Linked DNA regions of Drosophila melanogaster. The protein of the gene in region 1 interacts with the protein of each later gene in a biochemical or structural test. Each region holds a gene or a part of one and is shown in the gene's direction. Other genes may lie near its edges.

Evidence for each region.
Region 2: the proteins of Kmn1 (region 1) and Nnf1b form a complex in vitro, tested with the Drosophila melanogaster proteins (one study listed by BioGRID).
Region 3: the proteins of Kmn1 (region 1) and Cenp-C form a complex in vitro, tested with the Drosophila melanogaster proteins (one study listed by BioGRID).
Region 4: the proteins of Kmn1 (region 1) and Nnf1a form a complex in vitro, tested with the Drosophila melanogaster proteins (2 studies listed by BioGRID).

What each region holds. Positions count from the first base shown.
Region 1 is NC_004354.4:11,570,873-11,574,477, reverse strand, and holds Kmn1 (kinetochore Mis12-Ndc80 network component 1), read left to right. Parts: upstream 1-2,035; 5' UTR 2,036-2,079; coding exon 2,080-2,287; intron 2,288-2,345; coding exon 2,346-2,689; 3' UTR 2,690-3,095; downstream 3,096-3,605. Other genes in the region: CG11696 (uncharacterized protein), read right to left, coding at 1-425, 495-620; Reepl1 (receptor accessory protein like 1), read right to left, coding at 954-1,676; CG11699 (uncharacterized protein), read right to left, coding at 3,178-3,309, 3,370-3,605.
Region 2 is NT_033779.5:808,993-812,044, forward strand, and holds Nnf1b (Nnf1b), read left to right. Parts: upstream 1-1,584; 5' UTR 1,585-1,653; coding exon 1,654-1,766; intron 1,767-1,816; coding exon 1,817-2,029; intron 2,030-2,096; coding exon 2,097-2,211; intron 2,212-2,266; coding exon 2,267-2,440; 3' UTR 2,441-2,539; downstream 2,540-3,052. Other genes in the region: Dbp21E2 (DEAD box protein 21E2), read left to right, coding at 2,644-3,052.
Region 3 is NT_033777.3:8,562,187-8,569,796, forward strand, and holds Cenp-C (centromeric protein-C), read left to right. Parts: upstream 1-1,918; 5' UTR 1,919-2,068; coding exon 2,069-2,070; intron 2,071-2,142; coding exon 2,143-2,650; intron 2,651-2,711; coding exon 2,712-4,046; intron 4,047-4,109; coding exon 4,110-5,544; intron 5,545-5,613; coding exon 5,614-6,252; intron 6,253-6,323; coding exon 6,324-6,466; intron 6,467-6,532; coding exon 6,533-6,641; intron 6,642-6,701; coding exon 6,702-6,766; 3' UTR 6,767-7,062; downstream 7,063-7,610. Other genes in the region: mRpS18A (mitochondrial ribosomal protein S18A), read right to left, coding at 1-129, 226-322; CG31460 (uncharacterized protein), read left to right, coding at 697-700, 757-1,178.
Region 4 is NT_033778.4:20,585,668-20,588,924, reverse strand, and holds Nnf1a (Nnf1a), read left to right. Parts: upstream 1-1,686; 5' UTR 1,687-1,751; coding exon 1,752-1,852; intron 1,853-1,908; coding exon 1,909-2,121; intron 2,122-2,195; coding exon 2,196-2,310; intron 2,311-2,515; coding exon 2,516-2,671; 3' UTR 2,672-2,703; downstream 2,704-3,257.

The sequences.
Region 1 (3,605 bases):
TGCTGCAGCGCAGTTTTGCGCGGCCTGCCCCTGGGGCGCGGTTTTACCGGATCCGGCTCCGGTTCTTCTTCTTCATCTGGCTGCGATTCCGGCTCGAAGTCCGGTTCAAAGGTGTCGCCATAGTCACTGTCTTTTTCATCGCCCGCGGACAAGGCGTCGATGACGGGTTCGCACAGTATGTGATCCTTGATGTCATCGCCCTCATAGCTGAGCTTTGGCTCGATTGGCGACTCCGTGTTCCACACGACCAGGGCGGGCTCCGGCTCCGTCAGTTCGGGCAGCTCCGGCAATTCAGTTTTCAGCTGCAAGGAGCGGTGCAGCGACCGCTGCTTCTCCGCTACCATGGAACAGAATTGCTCGATCTCGGCCAGCTGCCGCCAGCAGCGGTTGCACAGGCACGTGGACACCACGTCGTTTTCCGCCAACTGAAAGCGAACAATTCAATCATTAGAAAAAAACATCTTTTTGGGGTAGAAAAGTCCAAATCCACTCACCACCAGCAGCAGATGTCGCTCGATCAGCTCGGCCAGCTGGCGATGTGCCGGTTGTCCCATTGGCGGTTCCTGGCCGAAAATGGGCACCCCGTGCTCAGCATCCTCCAGGCAGAGTCGGCATATCATCTCATAAAAGGAAGGACACAAATCCCGAGTCGAATCGCGTTAAATGCAGCTGTTTTTGATTCGTTGCTGAGTTTTGTTATGTGAGCGTTACCGGACCGCGAAAAGAGACCTCCGCGACTGATTGTGCAAACACAAGAAAATAGGCTAGAAAAAATAGCTAAGAAGATAACCAACACATTGGTTCAATATTTTGTGACTAAAATTAATCAATTTAAATGCTTTTTTTGTATAAACTTTATTGCGGTAAGGTTAGTTTATTTCTGAGATGTATGCTTTTTGAAAGCTCTGAACTTTGACAACTTCCGCCTGACATATTGAGGATATCAATTGATGTCACATAAACTGCGACGAAAGATTCATTTCTTGCTGGTTGCTTGATGATGGCTGACGCATTGGCTTCGGCGGCGGTATTGGTCTCTCCTTGGGCTTGGAAATAGGCTCCTTAATAACCAATAAATCAGATTCGGATCCGTGCAGCAGATCCATATTTAAATCGATATTTTCTCCCAAAACCTCGTTGATGGTATCAGATAAGTTACCCATCTGTTTCCGCTTCTCTTCCAACTGCCTTTTGGCTATGGCATCGTTGACCAGATCCTCGATGCTGGGCGTTATTTGGAGGGCAGGACGATGACCGCTGGGCAGGAGATAGCGATCTGCCAAAACCATCAAATGGCTAAGAACGGAGCAAACTTGTTGCCACACCAATTCGCCCCATTCCAAGGTGATACGTCCCAGGACCTGGTCGAAGGATTCGTTACAGCTAAAGGATCGCAGGAACTCCTCGTAGATCACCTCACTGCCGCCGCCCACAGAGGGCAACATCCAGAACAGGAGAAGCACCTTGAACTCACTTAGCAATGGAATAAATGCCAGCAGACCCGCTGTGAAATAATCAAAGGCCACATAAACTCCATAGGCAATCCAGTAGATTAACCATCCGCGAAGATCATTGACGCTACAATTCTGACTTTTCAGGATCTTGTAGGACGCGAATGCTGGATAGAAACAGCCCACCAGAAGGGACAGTATGTGTATCACGATCGCATAAATCATTATTTGGAAATTTTGGATAATCTTAAAATTTTGGATTTTGAGAAAGTATATATATAGCTGTGTATTCGGTTCTCGATTTTGTTCATTTGGTTTGACTACTTGAACAAATACAATAAATTGAAATGTGATTCTAAACGCAAGGCCTGCTTAGCATTCATAAAATGACTTATGCCCTATAACCCTTTTCCCCTTTTTTAGTTCAGCTTTTTTTCAATGAGTATATATCTTTTTATTAATATTAAAAGTGCAATTTTTTATATCGTATATTTTAATTTGTATAAAAGGTTTTGGCTTGAAAAGAGCCAGAGCGAATTACGTTCAAAAGATGTGGCATCACTGGATCAGCGATGGGTGTTGGCAAGCGTTTACGGATTTAAAAACTGAAAACAAACGAAGCGACGCGATGGAGCCAGCCGAAAGTCCAGAAAAATTAATGAAATTCGTACGCCGCAGTGACGTACTGGAATACGTGGGCAACACGAGTGCCGTCGATCTATCGAGCGGTGATCTCTCCGACATCGATCTCAAGGACGTGCCGGCCCAACTGGAGGCCACTTTGAAACCGCGTCGCTATGAAGCAAGCACTTTGTTTAACATTGACCTGGACGATAGTAAGTGCAATCCTTGTGGTTAATTAAATTGCCATTTACTTAACGTACAGACTTTCAGTCTGGGATCCTAGCTGTCAGGAGGACGAGGTGCAGCAGTACAAGGAGCGCGCCCAGAAGGAGCAGCAAAAGTTCTTCGACTTTGTAATGCATGCGGCACTGGACACGGACAATCGCAAGGTTAGCTTCAAGCCAAACAAGGAGCAGCAGCGTTACCTAGATCAGGGACCCAATTTGCAAAACTTCGTGCGAAGCTCGTTGGCTTTCACAAACGCGGCCATCCGATTTCAGGCGGAGCACGAGGACATGATGGAGCTGCAGTGCAATATGGACGATCACTACCTATTCATGCGGAACACCATGATCAACAACGCTATACACCAGAATATGGCCAACCAACGGTGACCCTAAGCTATGCATAAATATACATATGTGAATTGTAGATATTGATAAATTAAATTAAGACTCAGAGATTGTAAGACGGTTTGCTTTTGGCTTATACAGTATAATTCGCTTAGCTGCCTCGAGTACTTTGCACAATGCCTCGATGCAGGTAACTTAAAAATGCAGCTAACTTAATTTTTTTTTTTCTATTTTCTATTTTCTATTCACACAAAAAAATGGAAAAATAATGCAGATATCTTGCCGATGCAGCTAACTATCGATGCAGCTAAGCGAATTATACTGTATTTATTTCTACCCTAATATGTAACTCCCTAAGTTGCACTTCTGATGATGGCTGCCTTTAAGTCTGACCGAAAGAAATGAAAACCGATCAAACGTCTTGAAAACATTGTCTGTATGTAAACTGAAGTTAACAAAGGTTTCGTTTTATGTTCTGGTCTACTCAGGCGTTAGGTCTACTTTAAATTGTGTGTATATTTGTGAGCTGCTTATTCCTTGTTCCAGGCTGCCAGGTATTTCATGAGGTCCGTGAGACTCTCGAAATCGGTGCGGCTGGCTGGTGGTTCGTCCTTGGTGATTCTTGGCAGTGCATTGCCCATCTTGAGGCGGAACTCCTGGAACTGCGAACGAAACGAAAGATTTAAAGCGAAATTCATTGAACAAATCGGAGGCATGCTCACATCCTTGGCTCCGGATAGCTTCCAGAAGCCGTAGCAGAAGGCGCCGGTGCCCATCACGGCGTACAGTGTGCCCCAGCCCAGCGCCCGCAGGGCCAGGGTGGCGCCCTCGTCCATCAGGATCATGCCTTGCCGCGTTCCAGCCTGCTGGAGGACCTTGCTATCCGTCTTCTTGGCGGTGGCCAGCGTGCGCGAGAAGCCGAACAGAGCGGACACCCCGCCCACCAAACCCAGAAAGG
Region 2 (3,052 bases), on another chromosome or scaffold:
TAACTTTCTCAAAGGGTTTCTAGGTAAGTGATATGAGTTTATTAAGAAGAAGTATTTTTTCAGAACTTAACATTTTCACTAATTAAAGAGAAGACTTTCGGGGAAAGCATATTCTCTCTTTTGAGCAGGACAAGCGCAAACAGTGTGAGAAATGCATAGTTATTTGGATTGGTATAATTCAGAATTCAGAATTCAGAAAAGTATGCAAAACTTTGTCTCAGAATTTAGGCTCATTTGCATACCAGTCGCACCACAAAAAGTCAACATCTCCAAGTTTTTCACACCATGTGCACGAGAATAAGAATATTAAAATCGCATCTTGCTTGAGGTGTTCGCTTTATAAAGCCATTACCAACTATCCGAAGGACGAAGGCGGGTGGATCCTGGGCGGTGGTTCCTGAACAGTCCGCATGTGTCGGCCGGCATTTTAACACTTTAATCATTGAAATGCAAATTCGGAGCCGAGTTTTAGCAAGACATGCGGCAGAGTGGCACATGCATGTTAACACGGCCACCGACTGGCACGCCTCCTGATTCTGCTTCTGTTCCTGGAGGGGACAGCTCAGGATTCTGGCCGGGATTTAGCATATCTGAGATCCGGGCCACACAAAGAGAAAATGTGTATCGAAACGGAGAAGATGCTAGTGGGTTTTTCAAATCTCACTTAATGGTGCCTGAAAGTATGCACCAAGTTTTGAAAAACATGTATGTCCCATGGGTAACAATGTTTTCCGGGTAACAATTTCGAACTTTCCACCTTTTCATTTTTGTGGCATTTATGGGTCGTTATAAGATTGATGTCGAAATGATTTTTCCTGTGCAGGGGAGAGCACATTTCGAATTCTGCCTACTCCACAGCTGAGTTCCTTTTCGGACCCGGAAAATAATGGAAATGCCGGACCCGGCGAGCGAATAAATTAACCTGGATCGCATTTATATTCGAAAGTAGTGGCTCGGTGATGCTTAAACCTGAGTTTGCCGCAGAATGCTTCCTTTATTGCACGTAAATAAAGTCATAAAGTCATCATTACAACCGCGCCAACGAGGAGCACACGATAAGGAGCACAAAGGACAAACTTTTGTGACTGCGATAAAAATTCGCAAATGCGCACAAATTACTCAAAACATATTAAAAACTGCGTCCCCGCCTCAACAATTTGCCCAAAACGTTGCACAAATTAAAAACCCTCTCGAAAGAGCGGAGATAAAAGGAAATTCCATTGTGGCAAGTTTTCCCGATGTGGCAAACTGCAGTGAAAGCACAACTTTCGGGGAAACTGAAAAGTGCAGTTATTGAGTGTTAGTTGCAAGTTCCTTCGCCGATGCGACATGTGAAAAGTTGTGTAATTCAGTTCGAGAAATACACTCTGAATGTGGCGTAAAAAATGAGTTCAATGTTATATTGAGTGTTTTCGAAGTAATGCCAACTTACCAGATTTGATGCTTGAATTTAACCAATTAGCCAATAACCGTTGTTTAAAATAATTTATACAATATATATGTTATCATAATTGAAAGCAGCTCGAATACCCTATACCTACAATCATGTCATATAGGGGTTGGTATTCACAACCTATCTGTAAATGGTCACATATGTTTTCGGTCGCCAAGTTTTGCTTGTAATTATTATTTTGCCAGAATTGTGTTAAAAGTATGAATAATATTGAAGAGGACACCGAAGCAGCCTTCAAACGGCTCCAGGCTGTCATTCCACAGGTGAAGCAGGCCTACGAGGAAGCCATTGGACAGATCTTCTCGGATTTAAAGTAGGAGAATGGCTGATTAAAAGATTGACCAAACGCTTACTATTGCTTAGCTCCTCAGATCTTGAGTCGTGTGCCTCCATCCTCGAGGAGCACGAATCCACGAGCCTGGACACCGAGCAAATAATCCACAGCACCCGTCGGCTTATGACCAAGATCGTCCTGGATGTGAACCAGTGCTTCTTCTCCGGCAACGACGTGGAGACCAAGCTGACCACGCTGGAAATGCTTAAGGAGCAGTTTGCCGCCCACGAGGGCAAGAACTGGTTAGTGAATGGTTTTGAATTTGGTTGTCCAGCAGCACTTTCCATGGTTTTTAACGTAAATCCGCAGGAACTTCAACTGTCTGTCCCCTGAGGAACTTACTCGCCCTCTGCGCATGCACAACTTGAATCTAAGCATCACATTCATGGAGCAACAGCTTAAGAAACAGGAAAAGGAACTCGAGGTATGTATTTCAACCTCCGAAGAATTAAGTAATACTTGGATTACTTCGATTTTAGATTGCTATGGCCAAAAGCATTAAAAATCGACAGCTTATACATGATGTCCACGCTGAACGGGTGAAAGTGGGATGTATGATGAAGCAGCAGTTGGCCGAGTACCAGGCCATTAAGCCACAGTTAATGGAAATGGAACGGCTAATAAATGATTCGTATGTGCAGGAAGAAATGTAATTTTATAAAAAAAAACAGATTATTATTATTATTATTATTATTATTATTATTATTATATTAGTTGCTGGGTCTTGAAATAAATATGAATTTCAAACTTACCGCCACAAGTGGCATTGAATTCGAGCGGCGCTTTCCAACACTTCGATGCGTGTGCACAGCTGACTTGCCGGCAAATGAAAAACATTGAATAATATTCCGAAAGCATGCTGAACTTGTCCGTGGTGCTCCGGGTGCAATCATCGCGCCATGTGGCTTCATATGCCACAGCGGCGGCGGCGGCAGTTAAGACGAAGCCACCAAAGGCAAAGTCCAAGGGCAAAAAGCAGAAGGGGGAGCCCCTAATCTCCTGCAGAAGAAGCCAGTTCGATTTAACCCAATACGAGCAGACGGATGCCAAGTTTGGGAGTCTTTCGCTGGCCTCCAAGGGCTGGCTGCACAACAAATCCAAGGGAGACTTCTTCATCCTGAACGCCAGCGTGCGAGGTGAGGAACTCCAGCAGGAAATGCAGACCGTCGATGAGTTCCTCGAGAGCACGGGGATGCAGATTCATCCGCAACTCCTTGAGAACTTGCGAGTCGAGCTGGGCATCAAATTACTGACGGGAATCCAAA
Region 3 (7,610 bases), on another chromosome or scaffold:
TGTCCAGGCCCAAGGTGCATTCCGGGCAAAACTTGGTCTGGCAGGCGGATTTAAGCATCAGGTGAGCACGCGGCGATTCCACATTAACGCCCTCGAAGATCTTTACACTGTTCTCCTGCTTCTCATGAACTGGAACAGGCATTGAACAGAAATTCGAATTAATTTTAAAGATGTGCATTTATTTGAGGGGTTATGAAACACTTCACAGAGGTCTCTGTAACTCACTCTCTTTTATTTGCCTTGGCATTGTGGTGGCTACGCCACGCACCTGAGCAATGGTACTTCGTACTGTCCTGGTGGCCAATTGCAACACAAAGGACATGTTGAAGGCGTTTTTTATTTACAATTTATTAAAATTGTGCTCAAGTGTAATGTTGTTACTACAAATGTCATTCACCACGAAAGCCGCAGCGTTGCCACATCAATTGATTTAAATATTACTTCTCAAAAAAAATTATCGATGTCAGTATTTAAATAACGATATCTGTTTTTATTTTTATTGCAAGCACAAATTTGTCATTCGAGAATTTTTCATGTAAATACGTAAAAAAAATAGAGAAAAATGCCTGCCTAACGAATAAAACTTTGTTTAGTCGTTACATACTGGAATATCCCTTGTATTATCAAATATCAGTTTCGATAGTTCGATAATTCACTACACGTATAAGAAAGACGCCGGCTGGAAGAAAAAGTAATATGTGTAAGCAAATGCAAGGAAATTACGGCCAACAAAAACTAAACTCTGAACCTTTGCAGCCGCTTCAGTGAGCAGTAAGAGCACCGTGGTATCCTCCATCATCTCGGGCCTCCTGAGCATTGTTTTGTTCGGCACACTGCGTTTCTGCTCAGAATGGTTTAACGACTCGCAGCTGAGGGTCCTTTTGGGCGGATACCTCTTCTCCTGGGTGTTCATCCTGAGCCTCACGTGCGTCTCCAACGCGGAGATGGTTGTTTTCGGCCAGGACTTCCAGGCCAAGCTGCTACCAGAGATTATTTTCTGTCTCTCACTCACGGTGGCCGCCGCGGGACTCGTGCATCGTGTCTGCGCCACCACCAGTGTTCTCTTTTCCCTGGTGGGGCTCTACTTCCTTAACAGGATCTCCACGAAGTATTACTCCGTTCAGGTGCCCAGCGTGGATGCTCCTACGACGAGAAAGGGCGGAAAGAAGTTCAAATGAACCATTCGTCTGCTTCTTATTTCATTACTAACACATTCGAATACCTAATCTTTAATAACCTTTAATAAATAACTAACTTATAAAGTCATGTCAATCGGTCACTTTGAAGCTATCCAAGCTCCATTATTACAGTTGGCCAGCCTTATACTACTGAGTATTGGTGCTGTGGAATAGGGGATCTTATTGGGAATTCATGAATTCAGTTAAAAAACTCCAATCTCTGGTTATATGGATATCGTAATCCTTTTCCAACAGAATCAAAACCTCGAACGCAAAGTCGTTTTCACAGCGTCTCTATTGCATGCCTTCTCGCAGAAAATGTATAGCTCCACTTTTTGGTTGCTTTTCAAAGCTGCTTCCAGTTGTTATAAAGTGAATTCGAACAAATAGATCAATCTGAAAAGTCGGTTTAGTTTGCTTTAAACATTTTGGATTTGTTTTGTCAACAAAAATTGCCGGCAAAGTGTGACCAGCTTGCGTTTTACGCGTTTAGTATATTTTAGTAATGAAATACTGCATATAATGGTTGCCTGCTGGTCAACGCTTTCGAGTATATTTTCAATAAAAACTTTTGAAATAAACTCAGCTGTATTTAACAATAACTGTTTAAAAACGATTGCATCATGCATTTGTAATTATACAGGGTGATGTCTTATTATTATCAAAGAAACTTTTAGATATTTATAGCTCTTTTCTGATAGTCTATTCGAGCGCTCTGGCAACACCCCACCTAGGCGCGCCTACAGACGTTACTGGCAACGCCAAATGAATAGCGTCGCGTCTTTTTTGTAGTTTAAAATTTTGTGGAGTTTTAGCGAAATAAGTTAAGTTTATTGTTGTCGTGTATGTAACTTCGTGAAGAATCCTTTTTTCAAGTTTCAATTGCAAATATGTAAGTTGCCACCGCGAGCATGCCATAGGCAAGAGAACATACAAACTCCGAGCTCACCCGTCTGTTTTTCAGGTCGAAGCCCCAGAACAACGACACTCTGGAGCTGGACGACATCCTAAGCCAGCCAGTGAAGGACAAGGAGCGCTTCGCCGCCTTTATGATGCGCAAGCTTGCCGAAAATAAGCCGGCACAGAATGACAATCTCTTTGGAAACTTCAAACTTGACTTTGACCTTGATTTCGAGGTTCCACTGATCAAGAAGTCTCAGGCTAAGCCCAAGTCCAAACTACCAGAAGTACAGCCCCTTGGGGAGTTGGTCAGCAAAAACAGTGCCGCCACCGAGAAAGTCAATGAGCCGCCTGTGGACCAGGCCCCCAATGAGAACGTGCCTCCGCGTCGATCGCCAACATTGTCGCCCAATAACCGACGTTCCATGCGCCGCAGTGGAAATGTACCCGGATCTGATAAACTACGTCGACATGCCATCCGCCGGCGGTCCAGGAGCTGTGGACGCCAATTGCTTCCAGAGTTTGAGGAGACCGTAAACTTGACCCGCAGCATATCAAGTCCTGTAAACTTCGTATGTTAAATACATGTCCCACAAATACCTAATCCTTGTACTAACAACAATGCTCTTTTAGTTACCAGAAATAAGCAGCACACCTTGCACAGAGAAACAAAAAGAGGAAGTTGCCAAAAATACAACAAGAGTGGAAACTGATAAACCAGCGGAAAAACCTATGGAACTATCACAAGAACCAGAGCCGGAAAATCCGCTGCAGACAAAGGTGACCTCACCTGCCAGGAACCCTATTCTTGCAGCTGAAATTGAACAAATCTGCAAAGAGCGACAGAGTTCCTTTCACAAGAATGTACTGCAGCTGGACTATTCTGGACGGGCACCGTACTCGCGACCCCCTACTCCGTCATCACCATCCGTTGCGGGCCTACGACGTACCTACACAATGGAAAAGGGCCCAGCTCCAGGCCAGCTGCTGCTATCGCCATCACATCGCTATGACACACCGAGCAAAATGCCAGTAGTTAAGGCAAAGCGGTTCAATCAGGAGTTAATGGTCCCGGACACGCCAGAGCGACAAAGTCACGACCCAGCCTGGCAATCAGAGCCCCAACCGGAGTTCGTAGTGCCGGAAACCCAGCCGCAGGATCTGGGAGAGTTGGTGCAGACTCTGTCGCGCAGCGCGATCAGCCCAATTGTGGTGATAAACACATCCAATTCGAATCGTAGTGTAAGAAGGGACGCTGTCGCAATGAAATCTGTTCCGACTTCGCCAGTTACGGCGTTATCTTCACCACCGATTGCGCCTTCTCCTAGGCGATCCGCCGCTGCCTCTCCCCAGAAATCCATTGCACAACTGCCGCGGGTGGAAGAAAATATGGATGCCATAATGACCGACGACGAAAGCGACGAACATCCCAGCACTGTGCCATTAAATCTAGCTCCTTCAGGTGGGAACACAACCCGGCAACGGCGTTTGCGCAGTAGTAATCGGGCTCGAGCTACAATCGAATCTCAGGAGAGCTCTATGCGCTTGCTTAACCTTCACAAGTCGGTCAATGCCAAAAAGTCAAAGCCGCGAAAGACTGCTATACCGCTGAATAAGGCTCCAAGTGCCCCCATTAATGGCGAGCAGTTTGCCCGCGAGCTAACCCGGATGAGCAACTACGAGATTTTGGATTTGCGCAAGCGCAACTCGTTGAACGAGATATATCCTTTAAATGGGCACAGAAACCATCGTTCAGAGAAGCTTATCCTAGAAGAAGAGATTCAGAGGGAGCTGCTACGTAGAAATCTAATGGATGAGGCCGAAGGTTTGCCAAAACAACAGTCCTCGGATGATTCGAATGAAGACTATATACCGGTTCCGCCAAAAACACAAAGTCTTCGAACTAAAAGCAATGATCGATCGCAGGGACGAGGGCGACCACGATCTACTCGTCGTGATCTTCCAATGGTAAGTTCAAGATCGCTTATATGTTGCGAAGGAAAAAAAAAACCTTTTTTCCCCGTTTTGCAGACAACAGAATTGGTAAACTATTTGGGTCTCTCCCAGACTTTAGAGACTCGACGCAAATCTTCAAAGGACGGCAAGCGTTGTCTGTACACAAAGGGTAGCTCGGACCATGAAGATAACGATTCATTATCACCTGTAAAATTGCCAAGACTAAGCAAGAGCATCCAAATTGTTCCGCCACCTCCAGTTTCACTGCGCTATTCGCAATCTTTGCAAAATCTGCCCTGCTCCGGAAAATTTGATTTCGATAATGTCGTGATGGCAGCCCCACCAGATTTCCATGATAGTGTAAATAGTGATGCAATTGAGATTGCTCCCCCGCCTCCAGAGTACGTTGTAAATACACGGGGCAGAAGCACAAGTGGGCGAAAGAGCAATAAAAATGACCTGGTTTTACCTCCACCGGGGTACGAAGGGGGCCAGGAAGAAGAACATGATGAGCGACCAAGCCAGCCGCGTTGCACAGCCAAAGAACTTCAACAATCCACTCAGAATGGACGAAGGGCGATGGAGAACGAACTGGTACCACCTCCTATCGAATATGTTGAAGAAGAGAATCGCAACAATGAGCAATCAAGGAGATCGACGAAAAATGGCAATCTTGTTGATCGAAATACACATAACGCAGTAGAATATTGTGAACCGCCAGAGCCACCAGAGTACGACGATAGTGACCATGGGCAAGCAAGTATACTGAGGAGAAGTGGAAAAAAATTGCAGCACTCCAAACAGAGTGTACAAAAGTCCAATAAGGAACAAATTATTGCACCTTCGTACGAAAATAACGAAGACTATGACAGTGACGAGGAACCAATTTACAATGAAGAATACGGAAAAGAGGAATCTCAAAATAAAAATGTCACTAGAAGAAAGAGCGATAAGGATGAAATGGCATCACATACATTAGAATGTATTGAAGGTCCAGATCCAAATTGGAATTCGTCCTGTAACAAACAGAATCGTAATCACCAGAACGCATCAAAAAGCAAAGAAAATGATAAGTTAGCCAATCGTTCATCTAAGTCCCAGAAACTCTCAAATCCCCGCCAGAATGCAGTTGGTACAGAAAAATCCGTAGCTCTAAGCAATCGAGGGGAAGAATGTACCGAGAAATCATCAGACGTTATGGAATCACTTCGCGTTAACACACCCACTCCTCCGATTGATCAAAACTCAGATGATGTTCCCAGCAGAAATCCATCTCCCAGTAGGACTCTTTTGTCTGACGACGTACCCAGCACGAGTAGAGCGGCGTTGGAGTTTTTGCAGCGTAGTCAGAACATGTCAAAGAGTCGTCCCCCGGATGAATCAAGCGCGGATGTGGTGTTCAAGAAACCATTGGCACCTGCACCAAGGGCGAAATCAAAAAAAGGGAAGTCTGAAGTAGACAAATTAAAGCTGGCCAAAATGCCGGTGGAAGCTGAGGAACTAAATACTAGTGAGTATATTCAATAATAAATGTTTTGATAAAATTAAATGTATGCTCTATTATTTTCTGCTCCCTTAGCCGGTATTCGGAGATCAAAGCGCGGTCAAGTTCCACTTCAGATGAGTTGGTGTCACACCATGGATCCTAGCAAGTTTAACTTTATGAGTGGCTTCATAGAGCCTCGCAGCAAAAACTCAAAGACGAAAAAGGGAAATTTGAGTAAGGCGAAGAAAGCCAGTGCCACAAAGCCAAAGCCTACTGTAGAGAAGAACTTACCCGACAACCGGGGACCATTGTGCAGCAGTACCCCAAGAATTTCTGAAAAGCTGCCAGGGGCCATACCGCATTCCGAATCCCTTGGCCTGAGTACCTTGACGTGGGAAGAAACTGAAGTGCAAGCAGAGGCTGAGAAGGTGCCCAAGAAAAGGGGACGACCAAAGAAGGCAGTTGGAGGTGTCCAAACTGATACGGAGGCTGAGCCAGAACCAGAGCCAGAGCCTATGATATCTTCGGTTGCTCCACTTACAAGCGATCAGGAAGAGCCTGACGTTCCTGACGAGCAGGCGCCTTATACGGAAGCTGCGCTAGGTCCCGTCGTATTTTCAACTCCCCTGAGAGACGAGCAGGAAGAAGCCTCCACTAAACTGATGCAGTGGCTGCGTGGCGTCGGCGATGCACCACCCAGTGCAAGTATGTCGGATGAAAACGCCAGTGTCTGTAAGTGTAAAATCTATAGAAATTGAATCCATATAGCTTATTTATTAATAATTGCTATTTTTCATTGCCAGCTTCTGCAAACGAATTGATTTTCTGTCAGGTAGATGGTATCGACTACGCTTTCTACAATACAAAGGAGAAAGCAATGCTGGGTTATATGCGATTCAAGCCATACCAAAAACGTAGCATGAAACAAGCGAAAGTCCATCCACTTGTAAGTAAAATATAAGATTATTCCCATTCAACTCGCAGATCATTTTAAAACCTATTCTGCTTTTAGAAACTCCTTGTGCAATTTGGCGAATTTAATGTGGAGACCTTAGCCGTGGGCGAAGAGAAGGAAGTCCATTCTGTTCTGCGTGTTGGTGACATGATCGAGATAGATAGGGGTAAGATATTGCTGAATAATATTTATTATATATTATTTGAATGTTTCTTTTCTTCCTTAGGCACTAGGTATAGTATTCAAAATGCGATAGATAAAGTCAGTGTGCTGATGTGTATACGCAGTTAGTAATTGCTTTGTAATTTATATACGGATAAGTATTGAGCCGATTTATATTTCTTACGTTTTCGCCACAGAAAATAAAAATAATAAAGAGTTGTTTTGTTAAAATATGTAAGACCGACATAGTTTTTTCATGTATTTTAAGTAGCAAAGGTGATAGACCCACGCCATAACTTCGGGTCATATCCTAGCTGCTTAGAATTTCAAGTTCATTTTATTTCCATTTTCTTTGAAATTCACAAGTCGCTCGCCGTGATGTTGATGGCATTGGAGACTTCAAAAGCGAAATGGCAAACAGGGGTAACAACGCCAGAAAGAACAAATAAGCAGGCAACTTTCAAAACAATCTGCACGTCTGCTTTGTATGGCAATTTTTAAAAAAGCACACACACAAATCACACGCAGCAGGAACACAAACATAAATTTGTAAAAAAAAAAAAAACAAAACAAAAATTGAATCAACAGAAACTTTTCCGGCAGGTGTGCCAGTGCCTGCATCCCCACACGGGACTTGGAACATCGTTTAAAATTAACAAAACACCATCTAACATTCATTACAGCAGTGTCAACCCTTTGATCATCCCACACGCCGCACTCTATTACGAGTTTCCCGGAAAATACCTTGCAAATAAAAGGAATTAATAGAACGATTTTATATATAGATAATCTTATATATATTCTTTAGTTCACTTGATTGGTTTAAAATATGTTAATGGGAAGCTAAAAAACTAAATATTTTATATTCACATGCTTGCACATGTTCTCGGTTCACATATTTTCGCCGAGTGTGCACAGACAATTGAATCGGAATTTTTCAGGTCTCGCTTAGGCAGCTGGACTCCACGCCCAC
Region 4 (3,257 bases), on another chromosome or scaffold:
TTGCTGACCAATTTGGAACTCAACACATTTACGTGAGAATTCAGTTCAATGTCAACGAACGCGTGCAAATAGCCGCGAAATATCTTTGGAATTGCTTCACTCGAAATAAACGCTAGAAACAAACGAAAAATACCTCGGCCAAAAAAGGCAAATAAAAGCGAATTTTTTCGCAAAACTGGAAATCTAAACAGAGACAAAGGAGATTCGTCACAATCGCCAAAGAACGAAAAGCAAAAGTTGCAGAATTGCTGAGAAGATTTGCAGACGGAAGAAGAAGAGAGCTGTTGTTAAAAAGCTGCAAATGCCAATGGGTTAATGAGGGGGAGGGGGGCAAAGAGAAAAGAAGAGGAGCAATGAAGAGAGGGGGGAGGCAAGTAGGTGGTAATAAGCTGCACCCAACCAACAAGCGAAACAACAACAGTTAGCTTCCATTTGTATTTTTCTCTCTCATTAGCCTCTCTTCGCCATTTCCTCTGCCTCTCCGTTTTCTACGTACCTCATCGATTGATGCTAAAAACTATGAATAAAATATAGGTTAGGCCTTTTCCTTATTTGTAAAAAGCCAACGAGCGTTGAACTCGTCTTGTAGCGTGGGAGTTTTGCTTTCGGAACAACGAAACTATTTTGTTTTGATTTTATCTCAGCGAATTATAATGAAATTTATGCACCGGTGTAACCGCGTGGAGATAAAAGAAAAAGGGAAGCAACGAAACGAAAAGAAAAGAAAAAACAGCAAATGTGAAAAACAAAACAAGCGACTAAAGCGATGGGCCAATTATAAAAACAACAACTATGCGACTCTGTACTTTAAGTAAAAGCCGGCATGCGTGCGAGCAAGCGAGAGAGGCAGAGAGAACAGGGCGGCAGAGCGAGAGAGAGCTAGGAATATTTCTGTGTGCCCTGGTGGTTGTAATAAAATGAAAGGAAGAAAAACTGTAAAACTCAAGCGCCGAAGCCAAAAGAACGATTTTGGGGGTGTAGTTAAAAATCACACTATATTGCTATAAAAAATCGGCATGTATTGGCGAATCTTTTTCTTAGAAATGTATTCAGGAAAACACAAGACCACACAACACACACACACATTGCTTTTAGCCTGGTTTATTTGCCTCGCAAATTCGCTTTTCATTCGCGTTTCCCCAGGCAAAAGATAAAAAAAAACTGTAGAAGAAAAACTCACCTATCGGGATGCCTTTGTTTTCCTTCAGCTACGAAGACTTTGATGCCACCGAACTTAATCACTTAACTTTCAATTGGTATTCAACACGATTTTGTCCGCCACTAAACACTGGCTGGTAAAATATTATTCAAAATATGTATAGCACAAACACACTAGAGCTGAGTTAAAATGCACAAAAGTTAGAGAGGAATTGGAAAATGGCGTATCACCCTGTCATCGATACCTGGACTATCGATATATGATGGTTGAAAACGGTGGTTTAACACTTATTCTTAAAAATACTGTTCGGTGGTATTTATTCATTTTGTTTGACATTGTAATGTAAAAGGCACATATTCTCACCATACCGCTGAATGAAATATATTTATATTTTCAACATCACTTATGTTACAAGGGACTTATGAGTAATAAGAGCTAGTGGAAATACCTCAAAAAAAAACCAATAACAGGGTTGTCACCATACTCTATAATTTCTATCGGCCTGGTGTTTTGCAGAAACTTGCAACTGGTCACACCAATGTGGCATTGTTTTGTTTTGTTTACAATTTGAATTTACTAACAAATTATTTCAATGGAGGATTCGGAAGCCGCATTTAAACGCCACGAGGGTGTGGGACCAAAGGTGAAACAGGCCTACGAGGAAGCCATTAAACAAATCTTTGCCGACTTGAGGTAAGCAGCAGGCATAGTTAACATGATAACGAATATTAAAAATCGTTAATATCTAGCTGCGCAGATCTGCAAGCGTGGGATGCCATTTACCAGGAGCACGAGCAATCCGCTCTGGACACCGAAAGCATCGTAGATCGCACTCGCAGTCTGATGACCAAGGTTGTGCTCGAAATGAACCGATGCTTTTTCGCCAGCAACGATGTGCCAAATAAGTTGCAAACTTTGGAAATGCTCAAGGAACATTTCGCTGCCTACGAGGGCAAGAAATGGTACATGTGCAGCATAAAACATAATACGATTCGATTGCATTGCTAACTCTACTCTACTCTATTGTAATCTATAGGAACGTGAACACTGCAGCACCCGATAAACTCACTCGGCCGCTGCGCATGCGATTTTTGGACTTCAGCGTGGAATTCATGGAGCAGCAACTGGCCTCTCAGGCAAAAGAACTTGAGGTGCGATTTGGATATTAGTTAATCTTTGTACTATTACTGCACTGTTTTGAGTGTACCAAAAGATCCCTAAAGTTAAAGAACCTTCGAGAAGATTTTTAGTTTAATAATTTCATTTCTATAGTTTATCATTTGCATATACATATGTACATATCTAGGTTTGTTATTCTATCAGTATAACTAACATTTGTTTATATTTCAATTACAGATTGCTATGGCCAAGAGCAATGCCAATCGCGAGCGACTCCAACATGTCCATGACAAGCGCCTGAAATTGACTGTCCAAATGGAGCAGCAATTGTCGCAGTACGAGAAAGTTAAGACAGAACTTATTAAACTAGGCGAAGCATTGAACGACTTCTGACAAACTTAAATGCAATAAATAAATAAAATACTACGCTATGAGCTTAATGATTTGAGTGGGGGGTCTTAAAATGGAAATTCATACAAACTAATCTGCATATTCATTAATGTACATACATATGTATGTACACATGCATTTGTCATTGACATTCACAATTTATTTAAATTCGTATCATTGCAATAAGCTCATAATATTAACGAGCAATTGTTTGTATTGGCGACAAAAAATCTTTTAAAATTGAATGTATATACATACATTTCAAGTTATCTCTATAAAGAATACGATAAATAGTACGAAGTTTTTAGCTAAACATGTGTAAACTTATGTATGTATGCATGTGTTTTTTGAGTGATTTCTTAGAATCGCTGTGTGCTTACACACTCCCATACATACATACTTGATTGCGTAGTATAAATCAAAGGAATGGTATTAGTGTAAAAAAGAACCGAATTTTTGCTAGATCTTCCTCAAAAAGTAACTAATAATATACATTTAAAGATGTTTTTTAAAAGATTCGTTTTAATTTCCCTTGTGAGACTGCACTCATTATACAGATTTTCAGTTATATTTTAAGGCAATAAGGACA